2 linked regions of the Arabidopsis thaliana genome follow. The protein of the gene in region 1 interacts with the protein of each later gene in a pairwise test. Each region holds a gene or a part of one and is shown on either strand. Other genes may lie near its edges. The genes, in order: AT5G11710 and AT3G11130.

What was found.
Region 2: the proteins of AT5G11710 (region 1) and AT3G11130 interact in binary tests that used the Arabidopsis thaliana proteins (3 or more experiments, as listed by UniProt).

Annotation. Positions count from the first base shown.
Region 1 is NC_003076.8:3,767,707-3,777,162, reverse strand, and holds AT5G11710 (ENTH/VHS family protein), read right to left. Parts: upstream 4,763-9,456; 5' UTR 4,698-4,762; intron 4,594-4,697; exon of another isoform or gene 4,572-4,593; intron 4,546-4,571; exon of another isoform or gene 4,456-4,545; 5' UTR 4,183-4,455; coding exon 4,142-4,182; intron 4,051-4,141; coding exon 3,999-4,050; intron 3,612-3,998; coding exon 3,532-3,611; intron 3,444-3,531; coding exon 3,365-3,443; intron 3,277-3,364; coding exon 3,193-3,276; intron 3,106-3,192; coding exon 2,960-3,105; intron 2,874-2,959; coding exon 2,655-2,873; intron 2,440-2,654; coding exon 2,306-2,439; intron 2,174-2,305; coding exon 1,983-2,173; intron 1,788-1,982; coding exon 1,382-1,787; intron 1,098-1,381; coding exon 847-1,097; 3' UTR 501-846; downstream 1-500. Other genes in the region: AT5G11720 (Glycosyl hydrolases family 31 protein), read right to left, coding at 91-323; AT5G11700 (ephrin type-B receptor), read left to right, coding at 6,040-6,881, 7,348-7,463, 7,601-7,809, 8,060-8,179, 8,386-8,517, 8,616-8,741, 8,971-9,026, 9,123-9,222 and 1 more. UniProt on the Arabidopsis thaliana protein: May have a role in transport via clathrin-coated vesicles from the trans-Golgi network to endosomes. Stimulates clathrin assembly. Does not seem to bind to phospholipids.
Region 2 is NC_003074.8:3,486,987-3,494,955, forward strand, and holds the start of AT3G11130 (Clathrin, heavy chain), read right to left. Parts: upstream 5,080-7,969; 5' UTR 4,682-5,079; coding exon 4,637-4,681; intron 4,302-4,636; coding exon 4,097-4,301; intron 3,558-4,096; coding exon 3,469-3,557; intron 3,369-3,468; coding exon 3,290-3,368; intron 3,212-3,289; coding exon 3,084-3,211; intron 2,985-3,083; coding exon 2,886-2,984; intron 2,804-2,885; coding exon 2,695-2,803; intron 2,609-2,694; coding exon 2,529-2,608; intron 2,444-2,528; coding exon 2,216-2,443; intron 2,130-2,215; coding exon 2,064-2,129; intron 1,464-2,063; coding exon 1,347-1,463; intron 1,240-1,346; coding exon 1,042-1,239; intron 958-1,041; coding exon 841-957; intron 742-840; coding exon 682-741; intron 480-681; coding exon 393-479; intron 294-392; coding exon 210-293; intron 124-209; coding exon 1-123. Other genes in the region: AT3G11150 (2-oxoglutarate (2OG) and Fe(II)-dependent oxygenase superfamily protein), read right to left, coding at 6,000-6,329, 6,828-7,613. UniProt on the Arabidopsis thaliana protein: Clathrin is the major protein of the polyhedral coat of coated pits and vesicles. Mediates endocytosis and is required for a correct polar distribution of PIN auxin transporters.

The sequences.
Region 1 (9,456 bases):
CCTATATAATCGCACATTTTAAATTAGTTTGAAAAACTTGCTAAATTTAGTTTTTTTGGAGATTGGTTTGAGAGAGGAGATTATAATGACCTGACATGAAGATTAAGCGATTTAATATCTGGTGCGTAAACGGACGATGGTTTTATCAGATCAAGCTTCGCCGTCAAAACTTGCCGGTTAGAATCAACGCCCACTGATCTAACGACGTAGCCGTATCCAACGACTGTGGATTCTTCTTCTTCTAGTACAACTTGTGAACTTCTCAAGGAGAAGAAGACGACGACAACGATGAAGATATTGGGAAACCAGTGAAGAGATGACATTTTTTATTTTGGTGTTGGACTATTTTTTTTTGTCACAACTACTCATTTTCTTTGTAGATAAGACTATTCTATATTTTAATCATTCGTGACCGGAGAACTAAATTGTGTAAGATAAGATTAGTGTTAACATAATCACTAAGAATGAACTTGGTCAATATGAATGTGAATAAAACAACTGAGAAGAAAGTTGGAGTCTCTTTCGGATTAAGAATCACACGCGATAAAAAAAATATTTGTTGAGTGGGAAGAGATACATATACTTTTGTTCTATGAACAAATCGAAACTTTAAACCAATAATAAAAGTACTCTCTTATCAAAAAAAACATAAAGACAATTCTTCTCTCTCTCATTTAAACCCAAAGTAAACGCCACAACAACAATGGCACATCAGTCACCGACCAGATTGTCCCATGAATGAAGTGCAAGAACAACAAACCCATTAAAAAAACTTACATTTCCAGTATGGAATGTAGAATCAAACTTGATATGCCTTTTCATCTCAACACCAAATCACAGACAATTTCACTGCTTAAAGCCACCAGATTGGTACCTTTGGTTACTGAGGCTGGAGAAGAAATCGTCTGAGATATCAGGTGCTTGTTGTTGTTGTTGTTGTTGCTGCTGCTGCTGTGTACTGTATAGGCCAGTTTTACCAAGCCCGGATCCTGCACCCATGGACCAGCCTGAGTAGTACGATGCAGCAGATGCTTTGTTCCCATCTTCATTGCTCAGATCCCCCACAACACCCACATCAGCTAGAGAAGCTTTTTTGGCTGGTTACAGGGAAAATAATAATCAGGACTAAAATCGAACTTAGAAACTAAAACCCAACAATTTCTTTGTCGTGACACCATGCAAACAAGCTACATGGTACTGGAACTTTATGTGAGCTAAGAATTTTGATTTGTAGAATGTACTGTTTGAAAAATAGTTGGAATGTAATCGAACAACTATACCTTTTGGGTTTGACTGCATCTAATGAGAAAATAAAACATTTTTTTCTTATAGTGCAGATCAAATGAGAGAGTTCTCGATAGAAGAGGAAGTAACGACTTACGAGCAGTTATATTGAGATCAATCAGTCCACGGCTCAGCGAATCTGCCCAAATTCCTGATTTCACCTGGAAAGGATCTTTCTTTTGCAAATGTTGTGGCTTCGAGTCTGCGAAAGACAGCGGGCTTGTGGTGTTTGTTGCACTCCCATGTACACTTGGAGCTTGTGGACCTGTAGAAACTGAAGCCGAGTGGGAAGTGAAGGCACCAAAAGGATCTGATCCATCAAAATTATCCATAGGAACTGCAGCAAATGGGTCAACAATGTTGGGAGTAGCCATAGACTCAGGTATTGATATCTTGGCTTCTGGGCTTACAACTGATTCAGAAGATGCAAAGAGATCAACCGTCGGAGGAGCTGAAGAAACTGTGACAGAAGGTTCAGACGCAGAGAAAAGATCAACTTGTTTCTGTAGAAACAGAAATGCGGAAACACATCAGTCAACGATTCAACAGCACAAGTAATTGTGAGGTGTAAAGAACGACTTCAACAGACAAACGTTTTTGTCAATTAGCGAGAAATTGCATCACATAACTGGACAGTTAATAAGGGAATTTTCCATTGTTAAAAGCTGCATACTAGCTTAGATGAAAGAAGTCACCACCTGTGTCTGTGACCCAAATTCAGCTCCCTGAGCCGAGGCTGATACAAAAGCTGCATCAGCAAACAAGTCCGCCTCTTGAAAGTTCTCGTTGTTGTTGGTGGAAGATGTTTCTGTTGGCCCAGAATCCAAGAAGTCACCAATCAGATCTCCTCCAAAAAGGTCCACTTGGTTGGCACTGCCTGTGGATGGCTCTGCCAAAAATAAAAACCATACAGGTAAGACATGCACATATGTCTATCATAAATACATGTTTATCAAACCAACTTTCTCCCGAATGAATGATAAACAATCTGCAAACTCAGCAGTCGTAGAGAGAAACATACTATTACTGGAAGTTCCCCGTGGATCAAAATCATCAAAATCATCATCGTTGTTTGAAGGAGCTGCAGATACATATGACCTATGTTTGGCAGAATCGGGTGACTTTTTACCACTGGATAGATTGTCATGGTCCGTGCTGCACATTCAGAATTGGAATCGAGTGAGCAAGATTGCACGATTAATTTACTCGACATCAGAAAAATGGTACACAAAATGAGACTAATGAGTCATAAACCAAACCAGAAATAAGAAAAGAAAAGCAAACAAGCAGCCTCTTTTGGAAAAGAAAACTCCCATAGTCTACCCAAAATATGTAACGAACATCAGAAAATGAATGGGGTTGACATAAACCTGCCATAGCGTGAAAAACTCTTCTTAGAAGTGTAGCTTTGCTCCTCAGTTTTAACACCACGTCTTGACTTTTGAAAAGACTCGTAGTCATTCTTGTCTTCTCTGGAATCTCTATCCTTGTAGCTGTCAAAATTGCTTGAACCACTTTGAAAACTACCACCAAATGAAGCTGAGGAACCAGATTTATATGTTATTCCCGTTGATGAGAGGCCAACATACCTAATTGGAGGCAGAAAAAAACGATTTAAGGCAAAGTAGAAAGAAGAACGGTCAGACCAATTATTTCCACTTGTGTAAAAACTAACTTGTTACGATTTGCTACTGCTTTGTCTCTGATTTCTGAGATTTTCTCTTTATTATTTAAAAGAGCGACTATGTTTTCCGCCTTCTTTCTCACGTTGATTCCCACATCTTTCCCATTTGGTTCAACATACTCAAAACTTGTGAGTGACTACATGGATGACAAAGATCTAGTCAGTAAAAAAAACACAATCTTAGAGAGAACTGCATATCAATATGTAAAGAGAAATAAACTGACAGATATTTGGTAAGTATGCTCAATAATCTCATCAACCGCTCGTTCTGATCCATTCGAAATCAGATAATCAATAACAGCCAATGCCTGGCAGGAAATGAAATAGAAAAACCTCAGGACACAACAAAACTATAAACTTCCAAATACAGTAGGAAAACGTCAAGAAGATACTCACCTTGTAGACATATCGCCAATCTTTTCCTGTCTCACTTAGTCTAGTCCACAAAACACTCATAACCATCTGGCACTCCGAGCTAAACATATGGCAAGTGCACATGTTAAGCAATAGCAAATCAAAAAAATATTTCCAAGTAGAATCACGAAAATGAAGCCAGAGATTACAATTTCTTCGTGGCCTGAGCTATCTCTGCCAATGCAGTACCATGGGGACCCCAAGGCTCATTATCTGTAGCATCCAATACCTGTACTAAACATAGCCATATATAATTATGAAAGGGTATCACATAATACTGAATTTGAAGAGATGATCAAACTCAAAATCCATGAAACATTGCCGCCAATTTAAGTTTACATGACGGCTCAAGCTTATCTTCTATAGAAATATGAACTCGATATTTGTGAGTCCCAAAGATGGATCTAATCTCTAGGAAATAGCAACTGTGAAGAAACTCAGCATCCGAACACAGAAACATAACAAATCCAGCTCAAATATTCAGGATTAGTGTCGATTTTCGATCTAGCAATTTTTATTTTCGTGCAATAGCTAAATCTATAGAAAGTTTTCGATCATTTTGCCTAGTAATCATGGATACAATTTGCACATATGGATACGAATCAAATAAATTCACCTTTTGCTCCATCTCAGGGACCTTCAAAACTTTCAGATTCACCTCCCTTTTTCTGTAATTGAAAACGAATCGAGATCAATCGAAAAAATATATAAAACCAAAGATCTACGGATTTGGATCGATAGAGAAAACGGAAAACCCACATCTCTCGAACAGTTTGATCGAAGACCTTCATGAAATCCATTTGGAATCCGCGAAAATGTTATGAACAAAGGAACGAAAACTGGCAAAATTTTGGTGCGAGGAGAAGTGTAGATCTAATCAGAGATGGCTCGTCTTTGTATTATGAGTTTTTTTTTTTTCAATGAAAGGCAACAACAAATAAAAAGTTAGCAGCTAGAACCGATTTTCTCGCGTAATTAGTTTTTAAAGGCGTCAAATGACTGTAAATTCGACCTGACCGTAGCCTGATCCGCAGTCTCCGATAGTCACGGCTATTGGTGGGTTGTTCAATAACCTACATGTATACAACAAAAAAAAATTGAATCCATTTCGTTTCAGTAAATAACACAACGAGTTTTAAGACCTAAGGTAAATTCTTCGAAATATTATCCAAATATAATTTATCCGAACCACTTCACGAAATAATTTAGTTGAATACTTTAAAGCACTTCAACGAAATGGCTCCGAATGGATTATATATATAATTTTTCCAGTAATGAATGTTGTTAGTGAAGATCATATTACTCTCTTCTATACCTTACTTTGTAAACGTTTTAAGTTTAATGCAATAAAATCCTTTTCTGGGGGAAAAAATATAATCCAGTTGAATATTGTTGGTCAGATAAGATTAAGTTTATAACATTATATACCCATTTTTCTATATTAAATATATCTACTACAATTGTCTTATTGAAGAAGTCAGCATGATGAGTCATATACGAGTCAAATTGCATTTGTTTTTAACTCTGGTACCAACCAATAAACCACGTAATATCAGATTATACATCACGTATCCCACTAGTTTAAATTAGTTTTTGCTGACCATGCACAATCTCTTACTTTGAACATAGAGTGTCCCCAATACATGTAGTCTAATCACTAAAATCTAATTTTGGATTTCATATGCTTTGAAGCTATAAAGTTGTTTAGAAATTAGCATACACAACAGTACCTTATCATTTTGGGTGAACCATACATTGACATTAGAAAAAAAATACCATTTTGCATTTAGAACGTGAAAATCGAAGTGATTGAAAGATTGGTGTGATGGATTAAAATGTTGGTGTTGATAATGCTGCTAGTTTTCTATTGGGCCAGCCAGATTTGTTTAATTTTTGTTTTTACTTCGTCCAGGTCACACGCATTCTGTTTCTCAATATCAAACAAAAAACACTCACGCTCAAATCTTGGCGCGTCCATATCAAACTCCTTCACAAACAGGGCCCATCAAAGCCCAATTCTTAACACCTTTCAATGTCCGAACGTAACTCCTGACGTTTTAAAAATTTTAAAAACCAAGTCATTAACCCCTTAATATCCAACAGCAAAGCGAGTAATTAAACGTAGTTAGACACGTGTCCTAATTTAATTCGATGTCAAAATAAATTAGGATACCGCTGCCACATCCAGTTCCATGTGAACCACGATGCACAGTAGTATTTCCTTTTAGAGCAATCTAAAGAATGACGTGGCGTAGTATGATTTGTTAAGATTTACCTGATTACGGTGAACTTGCACGTACCAGATCGTAACTACTCTCCGTTCCAACCTGTGTTTTCTTTTCTTCTTGGAAGCTCCCTTCCCTCTCTTTCTCTCTCCTCCGAGAAAGGAAAAGCACCACTTCTCTCTCTAAGACCCCATTTTTCGGTGAAGGTTTATGCGCTTTTCTTCTTCAACGAGACGACTAAAATACGTATACATGCGTATGTTGATGTATGCATAAGTGTTGTTGTGTGTTGGAGATTTAGAAGAGAAGGTTTGTTTGTGAATTTGTGTCTCTGAGGTTGGTTTTTCCAGTTTATTCTTCTCAATGATCCGAATTGGGGTTGAATCGAAAACCTTAGTAGACTTCGTCTGTGATGACTCTTGATACTAGTGGATGGCTCGATTTCAATTTTGCTGCGTCTTCGTCTTGGTCGCTCTTGCGGTTTTGGCCGTAAACCCTAGTTCAAGCTATCGATTTACCATTGTGGAACCGAAATCGGGTTCTGATTCCGATTTGGACTCAGATTCAGAGTCGTTACTTTTCCATCAGGACTACTCTCCGCCTGCTCCGCCACCGCCACCACCGCATGGACCGTCGGTATCTTGTAGCGAGGATCTCGGCGGCGTTGGGTTTTTGGATACTACTTGTAAGATTGTCGCCGATTTGAACCTTACGCACGATGTGTATATAGCTGGGAAGGGGAATTTTATCATCCTGCCTGGTGTTAGGTTTCACTGCCCGATCCCTGGTTGTTCTATAGCTATCAATGTTTCTGGAAACTTCTCTTTGGGAGCGGAATCTACAATTGTCGCTGGGACATTGGAGCTTACAGCTGGTAATGCTAGCTTTGCTAATGGGTCGGCGGTGAACACGACGGGGTTAGCTGGGAGCCCTCCGCCACAGACCAGTGGGACACCGCAGGGGATTGATGGTGCTGGTGGTGGACATGGTGGTAGAGGCGCTTGTTGTTTGACTGACACTAAGAAGCTACCTGAAGATGTGTGGGGAGGTGATGCATACTCTTGGTCGACTCTGCAGAAGCCGTGGAGCTATGGTAGTAAAGGAGGGTCAACTAGTAGAGAGATTGATTATGGAGGAGGAGGAGGTGGGAAAGTGAAGATGGATATTCTGCAGCTTCTGGATGTTAACGGAAGCCTTTTGGCAAACGGAGGCTATGGAGGAGCCAAAGGCGGTGGTGGATCTGGTGGCAGCATCTACATCAAGGCATACAAGATGTAATCAACTTTCGTTTCTATGCTCTCTTTCACTAGCTGTTAATTAGATTAAATGCATATATTTTAAATTACTTATAGTCAGCAGGGAATGCAAAATTTACAGTACTTGCTTGGTCCTGATATTTTCTTAAGATCATAATCTTACCTTAGGACAAGTTGAGTTTCTAGAAATGATACAAAATTGCACTTTCGTTTCATAATAATATTCTAGAAATGTGAGTTTCTGTTCTCAATTGGAAGTATGTGATTAAGCATGAATCTTATTTATGACAATATATATTTCGAAAGAATTTAGATCTTGCTCATATCTCTCCAAAATGTGTTGTCTGCTGTTGTATGATACACATGAAACAACTCATTTTCTTTGCTTATTTTAAAAGGTTGGTAGTGAGCCTTTTGTCTTCTTAGATTCTTGGTAAATTGATTTTAGCTAGCATCCTCTGCTTTGCTGTTATTTGAAGTGCAGGACTGGAATTGGAAAGATCAGTGCATGTGGTGGGAGTGGTTATGGTGGTGGGGGTGGTGGAAGAGTATCTGTCGATATTTTTAGTAGGCATGATGACCCGAAGATTTTTGTGCATGGTTCGATTCTCTTTACTTGGTTATTTTGTTTACATTTGCTCATTTGATTCACGGTTTTTGTTTTGAGCCAGTATAACCAATACGTGCTTGCCTAACATTAACAATCATGTAAACTGATCTTATCTTCCTAAACACAGGCGGATACAGTATCGGATGTCCAGATAACTCGGGTGCTGCTGGAACTCTATATGATGCTGTTCCCCGAAGCCTTTTCGTTAGCAACTACAATCAGACAACAGACACGTATACGCTTCTCTTAGAATTTCCATTCCAGCCACTTTGGACCAATGTTTATATTCAGGATAAAGCACGCGCAACTTGTCCTCTGTTATGGAGTCGTGTCCAGGTATTTAGAAAATAAATATCCAGTACATGGGCTTTGTAGGCTTACTGATCTTTCTCCTTGCAGTGTTTATGTTAGCACTATTTGTGATCGTATTTACAAAGATTACTATCTTTTATTTTGTATATCTAGTGTCTGTTGTGTCGCCTCTATATATGTTTTCTTAAAAGGTATTTAGTGGAACTCTTGTTTTTCAGCATATTATCTTGCAAAATTGATGAATTGGAGTACTCAAACAGAACTCAATATGTAGGTTCAAGGACAAATTAGTTTGTTGTGCGGTGGTGTTTTGAGCTTCGGATTAGCTCATTATGGTACATCAGTATTTGAGTTGTTGGCAGAAGAACTCTTAATGAGTGATTCTACCATCAAGGTGAGTATTATCCTGATTCTCTACCTTTTTAGAAAATGGGGATGCAACAGCATTGTGTCTGTCTACGTCAGATATGAATATTTCTTTCTGTTGCTAAGATCTGCTTCACTCTTGGCTTACCTGGCCGTTCTTCACACTCCATGTACTGTTTTGGTATTCATGTTAATCACTTGTTCATCATGTTTATGTTTATTGGTATGCATCAGGTTTACGGGGCATTACGCATGACTGTCAAGATGTTCTTGATGTGGAACTCAGAATTGCATTTAGATGGAGGAGGAGGAGATACAACTGTTTCAACTTCCATGCTTGAGGCTAGCAATTTATTCGTTCTTAGGGTACTCACAAACTCATGTCATAGTTTTTCTCCTTAAAAGTAATTTGTGACATAGCGTCGCATCTAATTTTTGTGTGTGACCTCTCTATCCAAATATAGGGATCATCTGTCATTCGGTCAAATGCAAATCTTGGAGTCCATGGACAAGGTTTCTTGAATCTAACTGGACCAGGGGATTCAATTGAAGCACAACGGCTTGTTTTGTCACTGTTTTACCGGATTTATGTAAGGGGTTTCCTTTTGTTAGTTTGGTGACAATCCTGCATTAGTTGACATCTTATATTTTGTGAATCAAAAATAGTTTGTGTTTATAGCTCTGAAAATGTAATGAATATAGGCATAATGTGACTATTGGTCTCCTTTAAAGGCCATATTGGCTGTTGTATAACAAATATAGAAAGGTACTTGATTTGGCCATGTAGGAGTTAATGATTTTTTTTCCTGGCAATTGAAGGTTGGGCCTGGGTCTATCTTGCGTGCTCCTCTACTGAATGCGTCCAGAGATGCTGTGTGAGTTTGAAGAAAAATGTCATATTTATGGTTAGTTTGTGTGCAATATTCTTCGGATATAAAAGCTAACAATATTTGAACTCATATCCGTTGCAGTACACCAAAGCTCTATTGTGAACGACAAGATTGCCCTTATGAACTACTGAATCCTCCAGAGGATTGCAATGTGAATGCATCTCTGTCCTTTACTCTACAGGTATTTCAACCATTCTTTAACTTGTATTGTATGCTCTAACTTGAAAACTCTGATAATTTCTTTCTTTCTAGATATGCCGAGTTGAGGATATTCTCGTCGAAGGTTTCATTAAAGGATCAGTAGTTCATTTCCACCGGGCAAAAACTGTAACCCTTGAACCCTCTGGAGAGATTAGTGCCAGTGGAATGGGTAACAATAACTACTTTTTATTTGGATTTTGTTTTGATCGCGCAT
Region 2 (7,969 bases), on another chromosome or scaffold:
GATGTAAAGTCCAGCCTTTTCACAAAGCTGAGCAACACGAGGCCGGTCATAATGGCTGAACATCCCATTTGCTAAGATTGCATCAGCCACATTAGGAAAGGTTACCAAATTGATCTCCAAAACCTGTGTTGAGAGTGCACTAAAAGGTCTAAGAAAGGAAGGTGAGTAGGGAAAGCACAGAGAAGTAAAAGGTGGCAACTCTTTTCAACCTTAGTTTGCAGAAAAGCATGCTCGGGTAAATTTGGCTTCAGAACATCCAGAAGGAAAGCAGTCGCTTCACGGATCAGATTTCTCTGAATATGCAAAAGTAAGTACATTAGCACATGATAGCTCTCTTGTGAAACAAGTAATGAGATACAATTTTATGTACACAGTATATTCTACGTGTTCACCTGAAGGAAAAGATCAGTGATAGTGTTGTAGTCAACTGGACAACCTCCTTCCATTTGGGACATCATTAAAGCAAAATTTACTGCTCCCTGCAATTAGCAGGAAAAAAAAGAAGATAATTAGCAGAAAAAAAAGACTATTGATCTTTTACAGGGCAAAAGCTTAGTTGCTTGATAAACAACAGCAGGCCAAAATTTATGACTCTTCTTGTGATTACGGAACAAGAATCTAGTAAACCAGTCCTTCCACAGTTTAATATGTTGCAAAGTATCAAAAGTGCAGCAAACTAACCTGAGGATCCGTACGGAGTATCGTTTGCAGAAGAAACATGTAATCAGGTGTGTACCCAACCTAGAGTCACAACATAAAACAATGGTACCTCTTGAGCACAATGACCTTTAGGGTAAACATAACAACGGAGGGGGCAAACTTTAAAACTTAATTGTTTACCTGCTTTGAATAAATCAATATTTTGTCAAACTCCCTTCGCTCTGCAAAAGCTGCAACGACTTTTGGAGTAGCTCTAGCTTTGATGTATATTTTTAGAGCAAGGTCATTATCCACAGTCTGAATCAGAAAATATTACCGTTACAGCATACTAAAGAAGCCCATAGGAGACACTTTAAATGAAAATGGTCATTTTAAGATTACTTTGACAAGGTCTCCGAGTTCTTCACTGCATTCTAACTTATCCTCTGCCAACCAGTTTTCCAAGAGGTTCTTTTTGTTTTGATTCACAACAAGCCGAGATAGTTCCAAAGACTCATATGAATTGAGCTTCCCTCTAGTCAAAAGGGTCCCAAAATACTGTAACAATGGAGGAGTTTGCCCTGCTTGTACAGGAACACTCTGCAAAATTGTAAAGTGTGATGTTGTAGTTTCAGACTGGTGTTACAAACATACATTATAGACAACATGTTCACAGAGGATTCTTTGCTTGAATATGGAACATATACCTGGAATTTGGCCACCGTATCAGGTGTCCGTAGAATGCCCTGAGGAGATTCAGCAGCAAGCTCAGCAGCCTCCTTGTACTTTGTTTGAGCAAATAACTCTTGGAACCGCTGGACAACCTGTAACATCAAAATTGAATATGAGGAACTTTGCATTAAGAAATGTAATTCGAGCAATGGGTTTAGAGGTCTAAGGAGTTTATGATATTTACTAAGTGTTTTTAGGTTAGTAGGGTTTAACTGTGTTTACTTTCAAGTAACCATGGTTTAAATAGGTTATGGATCTTTAGTCTCTATCGGTATAAGATGTCTTGGGAGTTTGGAAGAGGTTTATCATCAAATTCACTTAGTTTTTTGTAGAATTTTAACATTAACATGTACACCCTCCGTTTCAAAGTGTCATCTTACGATTCAATGTAAATTTTGTAATACATTTATCTATTTACCCCTATTTAAATATTAATTAACAATGTGAAATAGAATTTAAATCCAAGAGACAATTGTCTTCTAGGATATCATGTAACATTTAATTATTCTTTCATTTGCTTGAAAATGTCAAAAATGCACTTGTATATTGAAACGGAGGAAGCGTCAAATCTCGATTTCTAATTTTCTACATTATTGTTTCTATCAGAATGACCTTTTTCGTCAAATTGGCACAATAATGACTTCACCAAGAAAATAGATCCACACATCTGATCCAAGATAATTATCACATACCAGATTTTCTGCACCAGGGAGGTTTCCTCTTTTAGCAAGATTGACAGCAAGTTCCAAATTGTTCAACTGTAATATAAAGGCATAGATTTCTTAGCATGTCATGATGAATAGATAGATTATATAGAGAAGAACAAAGTAAAAGTTGAACATACTTGACCACTAATAAAAGGTATTATGGTGGCCTCATTTACTGTTGCCAAAAGAACTTGTCCTCGCCTATTAATGGCATAGAAACCCCCAACTGAGGAAGCTTCAGACGTTAAGAAAATTGGGTCCGGACTTATCCGATTTCTGTAGATAGCAGAAGCTGTCTCTAGATCATATACAAACAGCAGGCCAAGCTTGGTGATGACATAAATCAAGTTAAACTTGTGAGAGACCTGTTGGGAGAAAGAGAAGTCGGTGTCATGAATTTTTCACAAGAAACTTACTGAAGTTAATTGAACAGCTAATGCAACTACAAACCTGCATGGCCACAGGAAAATCATCAGCAAAATCTGGGGGGAAAAAGAGATCTGCCTGCTTTTTTGTAAATGATGGTTTCCCTGAAAAAAAGCCGCCCACCTTTAAACATCAGACTAATACCAACTAACAATAACCATGAAAATATAGAGCAGTAGTTTAAGCTAACCTGGTTGGGCACCAAGTTCAATAACATGCAGCTTTGATGTTATCTGCCCAGCATTAAAGCTCTTGCTTGCAAATGATATAAGAATCGAAGGATTCTCATTCCCAGGGACCTATCAATAATAATGTCGCTTGTCATACTACAGTTCAAGATCCGACCATGGAATGAAGTAGCAAAGGTATCACATAGTTTACCTTAAACTGAGCAAAAGATGCAGCATGTGCTTCAAGGGCCTGGCTCCGCTGTTGATCCACAGAGAAAAGCTGCATATTTCCTTTCACCAATTGTGGTCTCTACAGAGGATAATAATGACAAGATTCCGTCAAAAATATACAACATGACTGCCGTTATGATGTCTTAATTCAACCTAATACGTGGTGCAGGAACCCTACCTCAGGAGAGCCAGGGGCAATTCCAATCAAGACCAACCACTTCTCATTAGGAGAGCACTTATAGTTTATAATTTGATTGTTTGCCAAATTAGCCGTTCTATCAAACATCTTAACTGGCTCAGAATCACCTGGAAATATCGAAGCAAAAATGAGAAACAACATATACATGATATGAAGAAGCTGACAGTAAGTTAAAGATATAAAACCTTCAATTGACCAATGATACACAGAAGTTTGTGTGACCAGTCCCAGCATCTTAGGTGTGATCCACTTCCAAAAAGCAACCTATAATATCCAAAAAATTCAGACCAGTAAAATCAGAGTCTGTCTGAAGAGTACAACATGAAAGATAATCGGGTTACAATTTGTTTGCTTCAAAATTCACCTGCTCAGGCATCTGATGTGACTTCAACTTTGCCTTTGCTTCAATGTTAAATATCTGTAGATGATCCTGAGTAGTTCCTGGAACTTGAGCTATATACGATACGAATTTAAGAAAAAGTTAACAACAAATTAAGGAAGAAATAAGTAATAGCTTATACAAGGAAACATCCAGTACAAACCAAAATTTCTAGTTTAACTACACTAAGCTTGAGACACAACACTGCCACGAGAAATATAACACGTGTTGGAAAACAGAGAGCGCTATACTGATGTTTTCTACAGCATTAAACATGCTATCACCCCAAATCCAGAAAAAGAGTATAGGACTACAACATAAACTCGAAGAGTGTAGTTACACTTCCATACTACTTTAATAAAAATAGGTTTTCTATCAAGTGACGCATCACAACATGGACAGAGTCATTTAAACTTCAAATAAATCAAAACATCCTATCCGTAATAAATAGCATATGTACAGTTAACAAAATGAAGGAGAAGCTATCAATGGTAGTTCTGGAGAAAACTTTAATAGGAACCACTTATGGGTCTTATAACTGATCATACACTTCAAAAGGAGAATCTTATGGGTGTTATAAGTGATAATGCGATCGAAGGAAACAGTGTAATACCTTTTAAGGCAAGGATCCTCGAGTTTGGGTTCATAAGAGCAGAATCAGCAGTTATAGGCCTCCTTAAAGGCTGCATCGGCATATTCATATCGATAATTACAACACTGTTCTGCGGTGCCGTCTCTCGTACACATATGTACTTATCAGACTCCATAGTAACATTTGTAAAGGTGATGAACTGTTGACCGATCCCAACGCTCGGAAGCTGGAAAATTTCCAAAACAAAAGTAATCAATTGGCATAGTTCATTAACTTAGTTACAAGATCCGAGTAGATAAGCACATTGCGCAACACAATAACTTAAAACTAAGGACTATATACATTCAGATAACACAGATCTGAGCGTCCGCAGAGAAAATCTGATCAGAGAACTTGATCTCAACGATCGGGTAGAATTGAGAACAGAATGAAACTTGAATCAATCATATAACAGTGTGAGCAGAACCAAATCGATAGAAATCAGAGACTACAACTATAGAAACATGTTAATCGTCCAAAATTTTAGCTCGATTCCCGGAGATTTAAAAACAGAGAACTCACCGTTAGGACCTCCTTCATAATGATGGGCGCGTTAGCAGCCGCCATGTTTGACCTCAGATCGCGGCGAGAGAATCCGGGGCCAGAATCAGATCCACGGAAAGGACGGGACCGTCAACGGCCGAGCGATGCGAGAGAAACTAAGGAAGATTTGAAATCGCAGCCAGATCTGAGGCAAGTGAAGGAGAAAGGTGATGATGGTGGAGAGAGATTCGTTTTTTTCTTTTTGGAAAGTGAGAAATGACGAAATAGCGATCCAATCGGAGTCACTCGTCGAATATAAGGAGAGAAACCAAAGGAGAGACGACGTGCTACAAGTGCCTGAGCTGTACGATGTGCTTTTGCCAAAGTTACGGGTTCGGATAGTATTCGGGTCGAGTTTCAAACCGCGTAAATCGACGGGTCGGGTTTTGTCACGACACACACTACTTTTTGGGAATTTTATGCGTATGTTTTGAGCAATGGTCAATGACTCAATCATGGTTAAAAATTAAGATGAACACAAACGAGAACGAAGTTTGAAATAAATTTTCTAAATATGGAGATGAAACAAAAAAAAAAAAACTTTTTACCAAAAAAAAAAAAAGATATACGAAATTTTCTATTATATCTTATCAAAATTAGGGTATGAAGACCAAAATATTTAAATTTATGTCGATTTAAGTGTTGCATGAAAAAATCGTATAAGAAATTTACGTCGATTTAATTAGTGTTTAGTGAAGATTGTATTACTTATAATTTTAACTCGAATTAAATGATATAATCAATTTTGATGTATATAATTCATTCTCACAAGAAAATTAAAGAGCAACACCAATATGGATCACTAAATAAGTAAACATGTATACGTAGATTTGAAGTCATTCATTGATATTCTGCCTCAATGAGAGATTAAAAGCCAACACTGTATTTCCTCATTTTCAAAAACAGGATGCTATAAGCGTTTGTGTCACCTTCTAATTATAACAAATAATCAACATTGGAAAACAAAAGTTATGAAGTAGAATTTGGTTATGATCTCAAAAGACTCAGTTTTAAAGTACATCATCAAAGTCATAGATTCTTCTATATAAAATCTAGGAGTTGAGTTTAGTGTGATAGAGTCATTGGTGTAACCTAAAAGTTTGATTTTGAAATAGTGACAGTTTTGATATGAGTATATATGAAAAAATTAGTTGAATGATGGAGTGACTATCAAAATAGAACATTCTCTGAACTGAATCGAACAAAAACAAAAATATCTCAATGCTAAAATGCTAACAATCCGCTGAAAATCAAAAGATTTTATGGGGGAAAAAAAGTAACAACAAGAACTATAGTACCAATTCAACCCAAGAAAGAAACAAACAAATCAAACATCGGTTCGTCAATCTTTTAAAGATTTGATTCTGTATCTGTCAAGTGGATCCCTGAAGAAGAGACGTTCTTGGTACACTCTCCATGCGTACTCCTTGAAACTAAAAGGCCTAAATGCCCTTCTCTCATCACTTCTTGCTCCTCCATCTTCTTCCTCCTCCTCTGCATACTCTTCTTCTTTGTCGCCGTCACTGATCATATCCTTCAATGATGAAACCATACTGTCCATGGGAAGTGTAAGCATCAATGTCATTGTTACACACTTTACTGGACCATCTTTTTGTCCTGAACACAACACTGGTCGATATTTCACTCTTTTGACCTCTCCATTTCTCCAAACCTGCCAATTTTAAGTTGTTTGTTAGCTGTTCAAAAGTTGAAAACTATATTGTAGAAAGCTGTTAGGTTTTGACCTAAAAAAAAAAGAATTGTTGAATTCTATAGGACACTAAGTACAATTGCGATGTGATGTGTATAAGTATTTAAATATCGGAAATTTCCAAATTCTTATTTCTTTCCCAATGCCATAAATCTGTTTCAAACGAAAAGTGAAAACACATTCCCCGGTTATGCTCCACAATTGTTGTTGTTGTCAACAATAAATATCGGAAATATCCAAATTCTTGTTCTCTTTTTGAACGATGCGTTGGAAAACATTTATTTTGGATAATGTTTAAAATACATTAAAACAGCCAGTTAACGGTATAGTGGAATAAAGTTCCATTACAAAGGATGATAATTTGATAATTATTTAAGGAAGACAACTAACCAATTAATTATAGATAAATAAAAGAGATATATGTGTTCTGTCAATTGTCAAAAGCAAAAGAGAACTAACCTGAGCAATGTCACCCAACGTCACAAGAACCGAGTCAACTCGGGGTAAAACGGACACCCAACCAGACTCGGTTAGCAAACAATACTTCTGTTCCCTTATCTGATACTGTAAACAAACAACAAAAGGATAAAATCCGTTGGTTACCTCCGGTTCATCATCAGGAACACCTTGGTTAACCCACATCAGAGTATTAAACCGGGTTGAATCATATCCAAACCCAAGTGCATTCGCCAGCATCTCTACCGTCTTCAGTCCAACTTTCTCTAGAGTCCGAGTGAACTCACGGAGCGAACTCAGATTTAACTCGCTCGAGTCGGTTGAACAGTCGGCGTCAAGGCAAAACGATGGCGTTTCAGCATCGGCTTCGTAGCCTAGCGGCCATTTCTTCGGAAACGATGATTCCTTCTTCTCTTCACTGAGCTCTAAGAGCGAGAGTGAGTCAGACTCGGCTGCTTCAGCGATCCCAGGAGGGAAAAGAATATCGGAGTCATCGTTAATGAGTTGGAAATAGCCGAAATCAGTCACGGCGGAGATAAGATCGTCCCATTCAAGTCTATCTCCGGCGGAGAGAGATACCATCGGAAGAGAAGGGATGGAGCGACGGTTGGGGAGTGAAAGCAAAGGAGGGAGACGGTGGAAAAGACTGGAGAGAGCGTCAACTGCTGTCTCCGATTTGCTGGTGGTGTTGAGATGTGAGCATGACGGGGTCGGAGGAGGCGCCGCCGTGGCTCCACCGTGCTTGATCAAAGGTTGGTGGTGGTTGAGGTGAGCTGAAGAGAAAGCCATTGAAAGATGGATGTGACTTTGGAAGAGGCAGAGCGTATATGTGAAAACATATGTATAACTTGCGTGTACGCATGGAATATATAAGGCTTTACTCACACGTGCGGGATTATGTATAACCTAATTTTCTACCATCTTATTTGTAAAAATTAAAAACAATATCACCATTCACCAAGTACATTTATCATGTTTTTTTTCTTTCAATGACATAAGTTTTGCATATTTATTTTACAATTATTATGTTATTTTTTCCGATAACACGTTTTTACATGCTTGTTTAAACTAGAGGCGGCAAATATTATTTATATGTGGGTTTGCCATTACAGATTTTAGCAATTTTGTTAAGAAAATTGTTATCT